Linked DNA regions of Struthio camelus. The protein of the gene in region 2 interacts with the protein of the main gene of each other region in a pairwise test. Links are inferred from orthologs where the notes say so. Each region holds a gene or a part of one and is shown on either strand. Other genes may lie near its edges.

Region 1 (7,818 bases), on a different chromosome or scaffold from region 2:
GCGCTCGGTGCCGAGGATGCGGCGGCAAAGCAGCGGCGGAGGCTGCGCTACAGGAGTCAGGGTTCACTCTCTATCTCAGATATGCTCTGCTGCACTTCAGAGAACAAATGCAACGGCGGCTTTTGCAAAGACCCGTGAAGGCGCAGTGCTGCGTTCCCCTGGTTAGACCCTGCCTCCAAGGGAGCCTCCAGCTGCCGCTGGAAAAAGGAGGCACTGAAAAGCCCCTGGCCACCGGGGAAGGCTGTTCTCACCTTTTACTGCTAAAGGTGCGAGTTAGAAACAAGCAAAGCCAGTGCTTTTCAAAGGGCTGTTTATTGTGTTTAACCCGTCTGAAGGATATAATGCTGAAAGTTGTATTTTCAAAGGTTTTTGTTGTCAAAATATTTAGGTAGCTTACGTCCATTTAGAGCGTTTCTACTGTGTAACTCTGCTATTGCTTGAAAATACCGTTCATATTAGGATCATATAAAAGTACAGTGGAAAATCCGCAGGACGGGAAACCCTTTTTCCAAAATGCTAACAAAAAGATTTTCTTGCTAACGATTCTCAAAGCTGGGAACGAACAATCTCCCCAGTTTGCCTGTTAGAGCAGAAAATGTCTCAGTATCAAATTTTTAACTGCAGTTTTGTATAAATCTGTGACATATCAGATGGAGATATAAGTGATAAAAGTATTAGATGCATAATTGGGTGCAGGTGATCTGTATACTTCAAATGTTATCCCTAAGCCACAAGTCACGTTTTGTTTGGTTTGGGGTTTTTGTTTTGTTTTGTTTTGTTAAATGCAAAGTAAATCTTGGCAAAACCAAGCGCAGCTTGAGCAAAATTAAATCTCTCAAAGTCTGACCATAAAGTGTTCAGAAAAGCCTGTGTTGGGAATTTACCTGTGTGCTTTAATGGATTAATGGACAGTATTAAAAGATCATTTCCAAGTTAAGCAAACATTTCAGAGCGTATTGTATAACATTTGCCTTAAAATTAAGTTAGTCAATCTGAACTTTATGCCAAATGATTATTTGCTCGATTTTCTGATGACGGTAATATATTACATACCATCAAATAATTTGTTAAAGACAATAAGATTACAAAGCTCAAGAACGGTCTGAGTCAGTCTTTGACAGATTAAAGTTTTCCAAGTCCCCTGAAAACACTTCTCTGACATATTAATTTGACCTAAACCCTCAAAATGTTCCTGATTATATCATCTCAATTGTGCTTTATTTTTGTTTTATTTTTCATTGTAGGAAATTAAAAAGGGTTGGTTGATCCTTGTCCAAGTTCTTGAAATGTGTTGCAATGCGAAGGAAATAAAAGATTACTTGAAATACTTTTTAATAATATGTCATGTCAGCAGAGATAAAAGTTTACACTTAATGCCCTCAGCTGGCTTCTATCAGAATTGGTAAGGACAAAAAGTCACTCGTGGCCATGCTGCGGGAAGGACCTGTAGTTCACCTTGCATTTAAATCATGAGCTTATGTTGTTGTAATTATGACCACGTTCATGAAATTTGTTTCATGTCTCTTTTTAAGGAGAAGTAAGTGTCTGCACAGGTAGGGCTGATCCTGCCTCAGGGTTAGAGCAGAAGGAGATAATCTCAAGGTCTCTTCCACCCTCCCAACGCCTATGAATTTCTGGCTGTGCCGGCCGCACCAGAACTAAAGTCACCCTGGCAAAGCCCTCCTGAAATGTGGACATGGCTTCGATATCCGTCTCCTCACGGGCAGGTACCTCTGAGCATGCCTAATACTAAGGAAAATCATGTCAAAAGGGTTTGGGGCTTTGCGAGGCCACCGTTGGGTAAAATGAGAGGAAGGGCTGAGTCTACGTTGTAGGAAGAAACAAATAATCCCGACTACAACGTAGCGTAGCCCATCTCCAGAGACACCTGGCAAAGGAAGGTAAGTACCACTGGCCTCGGTAAAAGCTAAAACAAAAGTTAATCAGCATCTTACTCTCTTTGAAATCCATGGTAGGAAACTCCGGCACTCATTCCAGCATCTGGGCTGCTATCTCCAGCCGGCATATAATGCCAGGTGCACACACTTCTGTAGAAAAGCCTAGGGAAGAAACTTCTAGGAATATCGTTCCATCTGCTCCTTTGTACAGCTTCTTTGCGTCTGTCCCAACTGCCGTTACAAACTTTGCTGTTGGTTTCCCAAAATGATTTCGATGTGAGCTCAGCTGGATCTTGCAGAGATTCCTTTTCAAAGGGGAAGGTAACCTTTAGCTCCTAAATCTGTATGCGGGCCCGTGTCCGACATGGCAGGCTCCCCAGAAGCTGAGTAACGGGTGTCCTTGCAGTGGTATTCAAGGACAACAGCCCGATGCTGTGGCGTTTAAAGCACACAACGTTTGAGAGGAGCCTTGTCAGGCAGTGGCCTGTTTGGTTGTCTCTCTGCAGCCAGCAGTTTTCGTTCTGCTGCCAGTCCAAGGCTTGGAAGAAATGTATGCATCAGGGAACAGACCCTGACGAATATTGCAAGAAATCCTGAAAGGTTTCACACCTGAATAAACCAAAGCTTCCTCCGAAACTACAGAAGTGCTTGGAAAGGTAACAGGAAGATGAGCCGTGTATCCTATTCCCTTCCCTCCCTGGCCACCAAAGACGCCGCGAACTGCGGGCAGCAAGGATGTTCCTGCAGCCTCCACCCTACGCACGCTGCTTTCTTAGCTGACCTCTGAATTTTAGCCACTTGCACATTTTTTTCAATAATCTTGCTCTGTCCTAGCAGAGGTTTTATGAACACCTCACAGGCCAGAGGGCAGCTCTGGAGCACCCAGGAGCCTGACGCTCCCCAAAGCCCCGGTGCAAGGAAAACCAGGACAGGGCTCGGTCTGGTTTTGAACCATTGCAGCCGGAAGGACCCATCTCCCCTTCCCTCCCCAGGGCACAGCAAAGGGAGCAAAGCTCTGCTTTCCGGGCAGCTGCCCCAGCCCCACTCCCAGGGTGGCTGCTAGGCTTGGATGAACTTATGGGGTAGGAGGGGATGGTCCTTAGCTAAAACTCAGGAAGGGAATTAGGCATTTTGCCTCTCGCTAGCACCTGCCCCCCAAAGCTGGACCTGGCTCCCGGGGAGCTGTATTACCACCTGGGAGCCGCGCACCCCGCCGCCCCAGCACCTCGGCTGCGGGTGACCCGGCAGCCCCCGCTCCGCTGCAGACACCCCGCTCCTCTGCGACGGGCCGGGCAGCAGCCAGCCCCGTGGGGAGGGCCGGGGGCTCCCCGCCGCTGCGCTCCCTTCTCATTTGCGAATTTACCTTTTTTTTAAAAAAAAAAAAAAACAAACAAATTTTCCCCTTTCCCTCCCTCCTTTTTCTAGCTGCTGCGAGTCACTTTCGCCCCCCCAACTCACCGAGCTGCTCCTGGCAGGGCAGTGCCCAGGCGGGACTGTGGGACCCCGGGGCCGAGGGTCCCGCTGGCGCAGCCCCTCCGCGGGCGCGGAGACCCCCGGCCCGGGCAGCCGCACGTCGGCGGCCGCTGGAGCCGCGCTGCCGCCCGCTGCCATCTGCCCCCGCCGCCTCCCTCCCTGCGCGGCTCCGGCAGCGGCGGGGCCGCGGCGGGACCGCCGGGGGGGACACCCGGCCCCCGACGGCCCGGCCGGCTCCCAGCTGGCGCGGGGCGGGCGGGGGGGGCCCGGGCACGGCCGCGTCTGCGGCAGCGCGGAGAGCCGCGGCCCCCGACGGCCGGGCGCGCAGCGGCTCCCGGGACCCGCCCGAGTGGAAAACTCGGCTTTTGGCCCCTAATTCGCTGCAGCTGCCGCTGCGGGGACGCGCTTTGAAGCGGAGCCGTGGAAACAGCCCTGGGGTCACGCCAGAGCAGGCCGGGCGGAGGCAGATTCTCTGCCTTTGTAAAACAAAGGGGGAAAAAAAAAAAACCCGACGGGGAGCTAAAATCTGACCCCCCCCCCCGTTTCCGCGCTGCCACACGGGAGAGGAGGGGGCGGGCAGGGCACCCCGGCTCGCCGTGCTGCGGGCAGAGCGCAGTCCCCGTGGGACAGCCCGGCCGGGCCAGCCGCACCGGGGCCTTGAGCCGTACTGGGAAAGCCAAAATGCACCTTTTTTTTTTTTTTTTGATGCTGGTTCTGGTTAAACGTTATTTGCACTTTTGTTGGAAAAGTGGCCCCTAGTGTGCAATTATGTCAAATTTCTTTGAGTTTTACAATTTAATGGAGAACAGTAACTCTTTTATTGATCCTAGACGGGGCCGGCTCCTCTTCCCCCGCTCTTCCCCTCCGCCGCTCGCTTTCCCCTCCCCTCCGCCCCCCTTTTAGCCCTACGAAATGTCACTCAATGTTTCTTATGCTCCCACCAGTTTCCAAAACAAACAGTGGAGGCTGCAGCCGTCTGTCGGCTCGGTCGGAAGCGAGCGGCTCTCGCCGCGGCCGCTGCCCCCCGACGGGAGCGGCGCGGCCGGGGCCGGCGGGTGCCGGGGGGTGCCGGGCCCCCCGCGGGGCTGCCCGGGCGCCGATGGAGCGGCGGGCCGGAGCCCCGAGGGCCGCCTGAGCCCGGCGGGAGGCTTCGCCGCTGCCGGCGCAGGGCGGGGGGGGGGGGGGGGATGGCGCTCAGCTCCCGGGCTCACGCCTTCTCCGTGGAGGCGCTGGTGGGGAGATCGGCCAAGAGGAAGCTGCCGGATGCCCGCGACGAGGAGCCCGGGGCCGGGCGCGGGCAGAGCCGCAAAGCGCCCGACGCGGGTTCGTAGCGCCCCGGCGGGGCCGCGGGGGGGCGCGGAGCCGCCGCCCGGCCCCGGCCCGCAGCCCCCGAGCCGCCCCGTCTGTGTCCCCGCAGAGAAGCGGCCCAAGGCGGCGGCGGCGGAGAGCCGGGAGGCGCGGGGCGAGGTGCAGGTGGAGCTGCAGGGCTCCGAGCTCTGGAGGAGGTTTCACGACATCGGCACCGAGATGATCATCACCAAGGCCGGCAGGTAGCGGCGCCGCGGGCCGGGCTCGGGGCAGCGCCGGCCGCGGCGGGGGCCCCGTCGGGGGTCGCCGCCCGGCGCCGCTGCAGGCCGCGGTGCGCTGGCTCGGGGGGCTGCCGCCGCCGCAGCCCCCCCCTCCCCCCCGGCCCCCCGAGCCGCGGCCCGGCCGCCCCCCGAGCCGCGGGGCCGACGCTGCGCTGAGCATCCCCGCTGCGAGTCATCATCCTCCTCCTCCCTGCCTCCTGCGCCCGTTTCTTCTCGTCCCCCTCTCCCCGCTTTATTTTTATTTTTTGGTTCTCCTTCGTTGCAGGTTTGTTGTTTTTTGTTACTGTTTTGAGGACTTTTTTTTTTTTTGGTGCCCATTTAGTTTTTCCAATCTCCTTCCACTCTTAAAACGGCAGCTTTGGCTACGAACGCCCCCCACCCCCCAAACCATCCTCCCCGCTAACCGCCGCCCTGTGCCTGCAGGCGGATGTTCCCCTCCGTGAGGGTGAAGGTGAAGGGGCTGGAGCCGCTGAAGCAGTACTACATCGCCATCGACGTGGTCCCGGTGGACTCCAAAAGATACAGGTAAAGGCCGGGCCCCGCTGCCGCCGCCCCGCGCCTCGGACACACGGACACGGGGGTCCCCGCGTGCGACACCCGTATTTGCAATCAGCAGCCTGATCAGCCCCCTCTGCACCTGAGATACGTACATATAGATGTAAAATACAGAATGCATGTATATGAATCTGCACCCGCGATATAGATAGGTATAATATAGAATGCATGTGTGATATAGCTCTGCATCGGAGAGAGAAATGTGTACACAGTATGCATATGTATATATGTGCACCTGAGATATATGTATAATACGGAATGCATCTGTACCTGCATCTCAAAGATATATAATGCATAATACAGAGTGCATATGTATATACACCTGCAGCTGATATGTGTGCGTATATATATGTATATGCACGCCTCTAAAACGCCGAGCGCATAGGCAGGTGGCTGGGCAGGGGTCTGCAGGCACGCGTGGCTCCGGGGGTGCTGCCGCGGCGGCGGGCAGGGCCGAGCCGGAGCGGGCGCCGTCGGGCCGCCTGCAGCCGCCTGTGCCCCCCGCGGCGCAGGTACGTCTACCACAGCTCGCAGTGGATGGTGGCGGGCAACACGGACCACTCGTGCATCACGCCGCGGCTCTACATCCACCCCGATTCCCCGTGCTCGGGGGAGACGTGGATGCGGCAGGTCATCAGCTTCGACCGCGTCAAGCTCACCAACAACGAGATGGACGACAAGGGGCATGTAGGTGTGGAGCGGGGCGCGGGCGCGGGGCGCGGGCCGTCGGGGCCGCGCTCACGGCGCCGCGCTCCGCTCCGCCGCGCAGATCATCCTGCAGTCGATGCACAAGTACCAGCCGCGCGTGCACGTTATCGCCCGGGACGGCCGCCCCGACGGGGCGCCGCTGCAGGCGCTGCCGGCCGCCGGCGTGCAGACCTTCTCCTTCGGCGAGACCCAGTTCACCACGGTGACCGCCTACCAAAACCAGCAGGTACCGCACCGCGCCGCCCCGCGCAGCGCCGCGCCGCCCCGCGCAGCGCGCCCGCCCGCGCCCCGACGCCTCCCTCTCGCTCCCCCCCCCCCGCAGATCACCAAGCTGAAAATCGACAGAAACCCCTTCGCCAAGGGCTTCCGCGACCCCGGGCGCAACAGGTAACGGCGGCGGCTCCGCGCAGCCCCGGCCGCGCCGCGCAGCCGCCGCCGCCGCCGTCAACCGCGCTCTCGCTCCGCAGGGGCGTTTTGGACGGGCTCCTGGAGACGCTGCCCTGGCGGCCCCCGCTCGCCCTCGACTTCCCGGCTTTCGGCGCCGAGAGCCAGGGTGAGTCCGCCGAGAGCGCGGGGAAAGCCGCGGAGCGGCCGCCGCTGTTGCGCGGGGGCGGCGCGTCCCGCCGCGCCCGGGCGGTTCGGCAAGCGCGCGCGGGGCTTGACGTCCCGGCGGGGTGAAGCAGGGCGAGCGGGCGGCAAGTGCGGCGTGCTGCGAATCCAACGCCGCGTGTCTTCTGCAAAAAAAAAAAAAAAAAAGAAAGAAAAAAAAAAAGAAAAGAAAAGAAAAAAGAAAAAAAGAAAAAAAAAAGAAAAGAAAAACCTCCTGTAAAAATCGAGTTAAGAAGCAGAGCGCTGGCCCCGTGGAGGTACGAGTAACGGCTCGATGCACCTCTGCAGTAAGATCTAGATACGGAGAAAAATAGTCTAGATATGCAAAAGGTTAATTTAGAATAAGGTTGTTATCGCTTTGGTCCTGTTGTTCTGATTGTTTCCACACCTTTTGTAGACCGTTATCTGCAGACGTGACAGTAGCAAATGCGGGTGTCTACTGTAGCTCTACTGTACAAACGCTTTTTTCAGTCGAAATTTATCGCATATTCAGGACATAGCAGCCCCACAGCCCCTTTGATATGGGAAAGATGGAAAAGTTTGTTAGTGAAAATCGTCTCCCTCCGCCTGGTTTATGCAGGTCTATCCCTTGCAGTCCTTTTGCAGAAAAATGGCTTTTGGAAATATTGCCTGGAAAGTGCCTACTCAGAGCGCCGAGGGAAAAACTAACGGCGCATTTGTGCACGGGAGAGCTCTAATTTAAGATTAAAGCTGCCAGTCTAACTCTTATTTACGTTATAAACTTTTCGAAGACATTTGTATTAGCACATCCATAATCTTTCCTGTCTCTCCGGGAAAATATGGCTGGTTTTATCACAGCAAATACAGATTTTATGCTGTACAAGCGTAGAAATACAAAGACATAAAAATCAGATTTGTAACGATATAGGAGAAAGTAAGAGGTTTATCGGTCGCAAAGGTAGCTACATTTTTCAGAAGAGGCGTCGTGTAAAATGCTGCTTTTGAACCTGGTTGGAAGGTTGTGA
Region 2 (8,227 bases):
TGGGCCCCCAGTCCCGGTACCGCCGGCTCTGACCTCGGAGCACGAGGGGCTGACGTACAGGGTAAATAAAGCATCTGGGGGAGAGGTGGGGTCCCTCGTCGGTGCCCATACAAAATTACATGGGGTGACCTCTACCAGTGTCCCCTTGAAAAGGGGCAGCCAAGTCGAGTTTAACACTCCAGACTATTTGCGGGTAAATTGTGCATTTATTGACCTTGACTGTTGACTGTTATTGACCTATCCTTAAAATATGCTTGTGTTAGAAAAACATATCTGCCATTGCAGAGCTCTTCTGGAAACAACTGAATCCTTAATTACATTCGAAAGAGAGACAGAGACAGAATTTCAGATCCCCCCTCCTTTGGATCAATATAGTCGTTTTAGTTAAATTTGAATTTGAGAAATAAGACTCCATTCAGTGGGAAATTTTATTTCGTGACAAACAACTTTTCTTAATCCCAAACTGCATCACACTTTTGGAAAGATCTAAACAAGATAAATAGCAGCTGAACTCTTGTTACATTTCTTAAAATCCTTCAAAACAAAGATTAGAGTTGTATTAATTGCGCAAGTGCAAGCAAATAGCAACATCTCAAAGGATTGAAAAAATACAACATAGATTACAAAATAATCAAGGAGACTTCCAAATGCGACAGCTACTCAGAAAATCAGAGCACATAGTGTTGCTGTGAACCAGGCAAGTGTAGTCAAGCAAGAGGCTGGCCCCTGCATAAAAAAGAAAATAGGTGCATTCAAGGATGACCGACAGAGAACCTTCAAACAATTCATTATATGAGCCCAGATTGCAAGTGCACCGGAAGTTTTTTAATAACCCCGGAGACTGATTCTAAACTGATGGAAATTTTTATGGGTCTTTTCATGTCGGTTGACAGTTGACTTGAAAAGATTTATGACAACTTACATCAGTCAAGGATCAATTCTCACAGCTCTTTCTCTACCCTGAAATCAGAACATTTTTGACCATGAATTTTCTAGAGCGTTATTCAAATAAAAAATGCATAGCACAATGCTCATGAAACAGATTGACAGCTATTTAAACAAAGAGCTTTGGACAATTGCATTTATTTTGATAATCACTCTCATACCCTGTTAGGTGTGTGTGAGATGCCGAGATAATATGTTATTGGGACTCTTCAAATGATAATGCAAGTCCAGATCCTTCCCAAGGCCTATTTAGGTGAGAGGTGCTTATTAATCTACTGAGGCCACCCCATGAAACTGCGAGGAGGTGCTTACATAATACTTTTAACTAAAGAGATAGCTTTTTACATCTTGAAATTGTATATGATATGGTATTTAAAGGGGTCCAAGAGAAAGGATTCATTCTGCTGCTGTAAGAAGCCCAGCATTTAATATTTGTAACTAGGTCAAGATGCATCCATATATGCATGCTTAAAGACATGATCCCACCATAGAAAGTGCCACCTGGGAAGTACCTGAAGGGGTAAGGAGTCTCCTGTTTTAGGGAACGGGGGGAAATTCATAGTTTTTTTACACTCCTCCTCAGTAAATTTCAGGGTTCAGCAAATGAAAGGCTACTCAGATTTCCCACCAGAGCCAGAGCAGATCTAAGGATTAAGGAGTCCGTGCTTCCTTTCATAGGGAGGTGGTCTCTTTCAGGGCAGGATAAGTAGCTCTGCAATCCTTGTGGAAGGAAGTCAGGTCAAAGCTGGAAAGTGTTTAGGTTTATTAAGAGATTCCATTTGTATTAATACTGGCCCCACCACGTCTGTATTTTACACCGTTGCCTATAAACGCAGGGGCCTGAAGTCCACGACCCAGACCATGCAGTCTCTGTAGAATACCTTGCTCTGTGCCTCACCACAGCTCCACCAGCCAGTTACAGACCGGGGCAGCCCGCATCGCTGGCATTAGTGCAAATCCTCCTCAGGTAGAGTCCATGCCAGCGGGTCAGACGCCCAGCAGGAAAGCTCTGGGATCCCGGTACCCTACAAAGCAGGGCGCTGCCCAAAAGCCCGGAGGCTGCGCCCGGCAGGCGCTGCTGAGGTCCAAGGCATGCGCCGGCAGCGCCGCTAAGGCGAAGCCGCCGGGGGCGGCCTCCTGCCGGGGCAGCGGCGGCGGCCGGGCTGCGTAGGCGAGGGGCAAGGGCACAAGCCCGCTCTGAGGTCCGTAAGGGAGAGGGGGGCTGCAGAAAGGCTCCGGCCTCAGCTCCTGCAGCTGCCGCTTCAGCTTCATCCGGCGGTTCTGGAACCAGGTCTTGATCTGGAGGGTCGAGTGAGATGAGGAGGGGTGAAGTCACAACTTCTCCCCCGGCGGCGCCCATCCCCATCCCCATCCCCATCCCCATCCCCATCCCAGCCTCATCCGCACCCCACCCCACCCCACGCCGCTCACCTGCACCTCCGAGAGCTGCATCTTGCCGGCCAGCTTGCGCCGCTCGGCGGCCCCCAGGTACTGGTGCCGCTGGAAGGAGCTCTCCAGGGTGCTGATCTGCTCCGCGCTGAAGGCCGTGCGCAGCCGCCGGGCGCCGCGGCCGCCGGGCTCCTCGGAGCTGCCGCTCTCGGGCTCCGCCGCTGCCGGGGGCTGCCCCGCTCCCCACGCCCGCTCACCTACTCCTGGCGACAGGGCGAGAGAGAAGGGGGATCAGCCAGGCCTGGGGTCCCTGGAAGTGCCAGCCCGCTCGCCTCTTTTCCCTCTCCCCGGGCTCCGGGGAGGCTCGCTGCCCCTTGCAGGGCGAGAGGAAACAGGACCAGGCGCCCCTTCCCCGGGGGAAATTTGCGGACAGGCCCTGGCACAGGTACGGGTGAGCAGGCTCCGGTCCCTGGGGGCACAAGGCCCTTCCCTCCTGTCCCCAGCAGGACTGCACCACGCAGCCCCGACGGCGGCGGAGGCCGCGGTTACCTGCAGCGGGGGGGCCGGCCGGGCGCTCCCGGCTCCTGCCGCCTCTCCCGGCCCTCGGGCCGGCGCCCTCTTTCCCGCTCCACTCGCTCGGGCCGGGGCTGGAGCCGGAGTCGGGCCGGGGCCCCGCGGCCGCGGAAGCGGCTCGACGCGGAGCACCCTCGGCGGGGTTCCTGGGGGCCTGGCTGCTTTGGGATAGCCACTCCACAGAGAAAGGGGCCTTGGTCATCCTGCTCTTGTCTCGGAGCTGCCGGGAAGGAGGGTGCTGGGGAGCACGGCCCCTCCTTTATACCGCAAGTCCCGGAGGAAAACGTTGTTTGTGTAAATACACATCAAAGGGCCAGATAAGTATCATCTAATTGCCATCAGTCCTCCCCCTCAACAAAAGATACTGTTCACACATTGCCACAGCTCGAAGAGGCTCGGCTCCGCGGTGTCTGCCCCTGGAGGAGTTCACTCTGCCGTCAGTGATTTACAGCACTTGTTACATCCTATCCCCATGCAAATGGCATTTATAGCGCTGAGCGGCCTCAAAGGGCGCGGGGGAATGCATCCCGGGGGCGCACAGGGACCAGCATCCCGCAGGTGCTGGCAGGACCGGGATCGCCGGGGGCTCCCAGTCCCCGTTCCCCGAGAGATGACACTTTTCAATTCTCCCTTCAAGCAGAAGTTCCACTTTCTAAAGGGATCTTCCCAAACCTGCTCCTCCCTGGGCTGAGTACCGTGCTATCGAGACAGCCTGAGGCAGGCGGGTGGGCAGACTCACTGAACGCATTCTCCTGGGTCTGCTGCACCAGGTTATAAACACCACACACGGGGAGAAGGGTTTGGAGGAGAAGGCTGTGAAACAAAAAAAGGTAAAGGTCGAGCCTGTTGGTTGGTACCAATCGGCTTATTCTCGGCTGCTTACATAAAGTGTTTTTTTCTGAACTAAAGAATCAGAAAAAGACAATTATGCCCTTAACTTTCTGCTGAGGCTGTAGGATTTATGTCATATCTTCCCTCCCAGATCTTTCCAACTGTGCAGGTTACACAGGTTTCCCTGCTATCTTACTCCCCCTGGCTTTCCTGTTACTTCCTTAAGAACGCCTTTCAGGAGCGTTCCCATCCATCTCTGGGTTCTGTGGGCACTAGGAACACTTGGCTGTTGCAGTAATGCCTTTGCAGTACATTGACAAAAGGTTTCTAGTGGCCCTGCTATTTTACTGACAGTTGTGCTTCCACTGTACAGTTTCCACTGTACAGTAACCATGAATCCTCTCCTATTTCCCCTCCCTCCCCTCCTGTGCTAGGACAGAGTGGGACTTTCTACCGGCACAATTATATCTCTGATAATTCCTATCATACTCCTGCCTGGCATTAGTCTGCCTCCGGAAATCACAACTGCATGTCTAATCTGCCTGTCCTTGCTCTGGTTTTCCTCTTTATATTCTTCCTCTGCCATCTGCACACAAACCCAGTGCTTCATTGCTCATTTAACCTGTGACTTGTTCTGTCATTCTGCCACTCCTGCTGGATTTCTCAGCGTTCACTTCATTTGTGATCACAGTCAATGTAACCATGGCTCTAGTTCTTGGCCTGTCAGAGATAGAGGGCTTGAGGAGTGAACCCCTCCTACTTATTTTTTTAGTTTATGTCTAAACTAAATTTATTTATTCCATTTTAATCTTAGATACCTCTCTTTCTTTATATCCATAAGTAAAAAGTTTTACTCAATCTATTTTCATCTTTCCTAAAACCTACATTTCAGCCGCCTATTTACTCACAATGTGGTTGCTATATCCAGCCATCATGAATTCCTAAGGTTTTCCACTCACTAGCAAATTTTTCCTTGAATGAAGCTCAAGTTTGACTTATGAGCCCCTTCTAAGCTCAGTCTCTCCCTGCTTGTTCATTCCTGCGGCATAGTCTGAGTCCTCTGCTCTACCAGTGATGCCATTGTTTGAGTGTTTGTCTGTCTGATAAGACAAACAAGAATATGAATCTAGCTGTTGCCTTTATTTAAAGGTGGCTAATAACCAATCCAGAATCTGTGGGTACTACCACAACCAGGCATGACCACAGTCCTCCTGGAGTCCTTTGTTTCTGGCCACATAGGGATCTAGATACAGGCCAAACACTTGAATTGAACATAAATTTCTCATAAAAATCATCACAAACAAACAACCACAGCCATACCCTTGAGCCTGCTAAATATGCTTCCTGGAGGGAACTAAGGGTACTGGTGTTAAAACGTCTAAGCAGAGGTTCAAGCATTAATGCCTCCTGTACGTCTGTTGCATGCCTAAACAAGTCCACAAATGCCTCTTGCATGGACAAGGCTCTGCAGGATGCTACATTAGTTTTCTCAGCTGTGTGAAAGACTCTGATCCATATCTAATGACTTAAAAACTCATCTGTTTATCCATCCCAAGCATTTTCTGATTAACAATAGAAAATTGAGAAACTTCACTTGTCCAAGCTGCACAAGATTAATTTTAAATTTCCTGTGTTTTATACATTCCGCCACCCCATCCCCGGAATACTTCAAGCACAGGTTCTTAACTACCTTTTTCAATAAGTAAATGTGAAGACTTTTACCCTCCCCTCCCCCCACCCCCAAGCCTGAGGAAATATTCTAAAACATCAGATTTTCTAAGCATTTACTTATCAGCCAGTTCTGGTGCCAACATATTGCATAGACCTGACCAAACAGGTAGGAGGTATACGGAGAGGAGGCACAGAAGAATCTACTCTGTTAACTGAGTTAATAGAGCTGAATGACAAGTCCCTTGAGTCAGCTATACTTAGCATGTGGCCTGGCAACAGCATCTCCAGTGAGCACTGGGAATACTAGTGCCGTTTTGCTTGCCCAGAGAATCCAGCCAAGCCTCCTTGGGAAAAGCGAGAGCAAAAAAAAGCAAAATGTCTTTCTCAAGGACTAAATTCTCATGACCATTAAAAAAAAGGAAGTGCTATTTTTCTGCAGGATTCTTTCTCAGTTTGAATTTCCTTAATTAATTCAACAGCATTCTGCATCATAGACGGGGCCAAATAGGAGATAAATTGGTCTCTTGTGCTCAGGAAGAGGATTATTTCCATTCCTAGTCTCTATATAATATTATATAATTTTATGTAATATAAAATATTATATACATAATCTATGCACACACCTACTTATACACACAGAATGTATACCTGTACATGTAGTCTGTCTGCAAGACTTCCTTTTAACTATCTTTATTTTATGTCAAAGAACAAAGGCACTGGCAAGCTGTTGGGTAGGACACAATACATGACATACGATGGTGTTCTGAAAAATAGAAAGTCTCAGGTTTTAGCATCCACTGATACATCTGTCACATAATTTCTTTACAGATTTTAATACATTTTCACCATCTGAGCTGCAAATGACATCTTCATACACTGATGGTTTATTAATTGCCTTTTATTGAGACAAACGTCACAGCCAAAAGATGGTGTCAAAGGCTGAGCTCTCAGAGACACAAACCAATCCCATTCTGACAAGGTTAAACCAAATGTTCCCTTCTACACAAAACGTGAGCTTAAATATTCTGTTTAGATGGCAAATTACTTCTAGATGTAATGACTGTTACAGTATTTAATAGCTGCTAGTTTAATTTTATCTACATTTCTTAAGCTGCCTTCTTTCTGTTTCTATGCATTATTCATGAGGTGTTTGTTTGAAAATCTACTGCTAAACCGTGATTCAGAAAATACCATCTTTAAAATCAATTGATATTTCTAATAGGATGAGAACCTGCTCATGCGGAAGTCTTTGGGAATTTTGCCAAAGACATAAAGAGAACGGAGAGGTCCTCCCAGCTCTGCTGCTACAAGGAAGTAGAGATAAAGAGCTCAGACATACAGACATAACTGCCACAGCAGAAGTCTTAAGATCCATTTGCTGAAGATGAAGACAATACTTCATGTAGATGTTTGTTCAATAGACACTTGCTCTCTCTGGGGAGCCAGAACCTTCTCCACAAAAATAAGGACCACCAACTTCCTGATGATCAAAGGGGACTGAGGATCAAAATGCCAAATGCCAGTCCAGGCCATGCCGTTCTGGGGAGGTGATGTAGAAGGGAACATTTTAGCATCTTGGAGAATTAAACTGAGTTGAGATTTATTACTTGATATAGATCCCCTAAGTTTCTTGTGAGCAGGAGCTGCTTTCAAAGAGGCTAAGAAGAAAGATCGGCTTTATAGATGTCTGGCTGGGACAGGTAGGATGGGATCAAGACAACAGTGCTTATACAAGGCAGCTCTATCAAAACGTATACACACAAGGCTGGGTTCAGGCTTAGGAGGTTCTGCAGAACTGGCTATTCCTGTTTGGATCCCTATTAAGCAGTTGATAACAGATATATTTCAGGATAACAGCCCCAGCCTTTGAAAACTAATTACTGCTCCACATCTTGCAGAGCAAAGGCCAGCCCTGCCCCAATGGGCCAGGTCACAGCCCAGCAGAGGGGCAGTACTGTGCTCAGAGATATCCCCTTCCCACTGAAACTTTGGAGGAACTGAAGAGAAAGAGTACCTCTGGGCTACCAAGTACTTTGAGGTCCCCACCGCAGCTGAGCTGGAGAAAGCTGCCGCCCACTTGGCCTTGCTGCAGTAGGGGTACACAAGACAGAAGGTAGGCACTCTCCTTTTGTAAAAGCAAGTTGTCCCTTCTCATAGAGAGTCCTGTGAGACTACAGCAAAGTGAGCATGTGCTTCTGGGAGCAGCTGGGTGGTGATGCAATGAAAAGAGCAAAAAGGGTTTCTTAGGACATGCAGGAAGTTGCGTGTTCATCTGCAGAACTGTAGTACTTCTATGATGGGATGCCCAGGGAAGCAAGGGCTGCTGGTACGTGCCATATGATTTATGTGGGTTTTGCCCTGGTACGTTTATCCAATCATTGTAATTTCTGAGGAATCACTCTTTAGGACTTAAAAGCATTACTAGTGGCCTTTAATCAAGCTCTCTATTATCAATTATTATAATCTCTCCTCCTTGACAGAATAAGAGGTGTTTTCCAGGAGAAATAAAAAGACCATATGTGCACAAATACCAGGAGGGCCTGGAATAAACACAGTGACAATGCATAGATGAAAATCAAATGTTTCATCAAGCTTGGAATTGATCTAAAACAATACAGCACTCAAAATGCCAAGAGCTCCCATGGCCCCTTACCATAAGGTTGTTACTAGCAGCTTAGCAGAGCCAGTGAAATATTTTAAAAAGATACATATTCTGCGGAGAGATGCTGCAAATACTAAGAAATGAAACACTCATATGGGTTGTGCTTTTAATAGTTCCTTGCCAGAACTTAAGCATATCAAAAAAGTCAAAGTAGAT

What was found. The genes of interacting proteins can lie anywhere in the genome.
Region 1: the proteins of VENTX (region 2) and TBX22 interact in binary tests that used the Homo sapiens proteins (3 or more experiments, as listed by UniProt). The two-hybrid records come from large-scale screens. The link is inferred for Struthio camelus from reciprocal best matches to the Homo sapiens genes VENTX and TBX22.

What each region holds. Positions count from the first base shown.
Region 1 is NC_090952.1:27,127,368-27,135,185, reverse strand, and holds the start of TBX22 (T-box transcription factor TBX22), read left to right. Parts: upstream 1-4,558; coding exon 4,559-4,694; intron 4,695-4,788; coding exon 4,789-4,921; intron 4,922-5,383; coding exon 5,384-5,485; intron 5,486-6,027; coding exon 6,028-6,202; intron 6,203-6,284; coding exon 6,285-6,449; intron 6,450-6,545; coding exon 6,546-6,610; intron 6,611-6,690; coding exon 6,691-6,776; intron 6,777-7,818. UniProt on the Homo sapiens protein: Probable transcriptional regulator involved in developmental processes. This is major determinant crucial to palatogenesis.
Region 2 is NC_090948.1:18,024,726-18,032,952, reverse strand, and holds VENTX (homeobox protein VENTX), read right to left. Parts: upstream 3,110-8,227; coding exon 2,884-3,109; intron 2,598-2,883; coding exon 2,377-2,597; intron 2,245-2,376; coding exon 1,933-2,244; 3' UTR 411-1,932; downstream 1-410. UniProt on the Homo sapiens protein: May be involved in ventralization.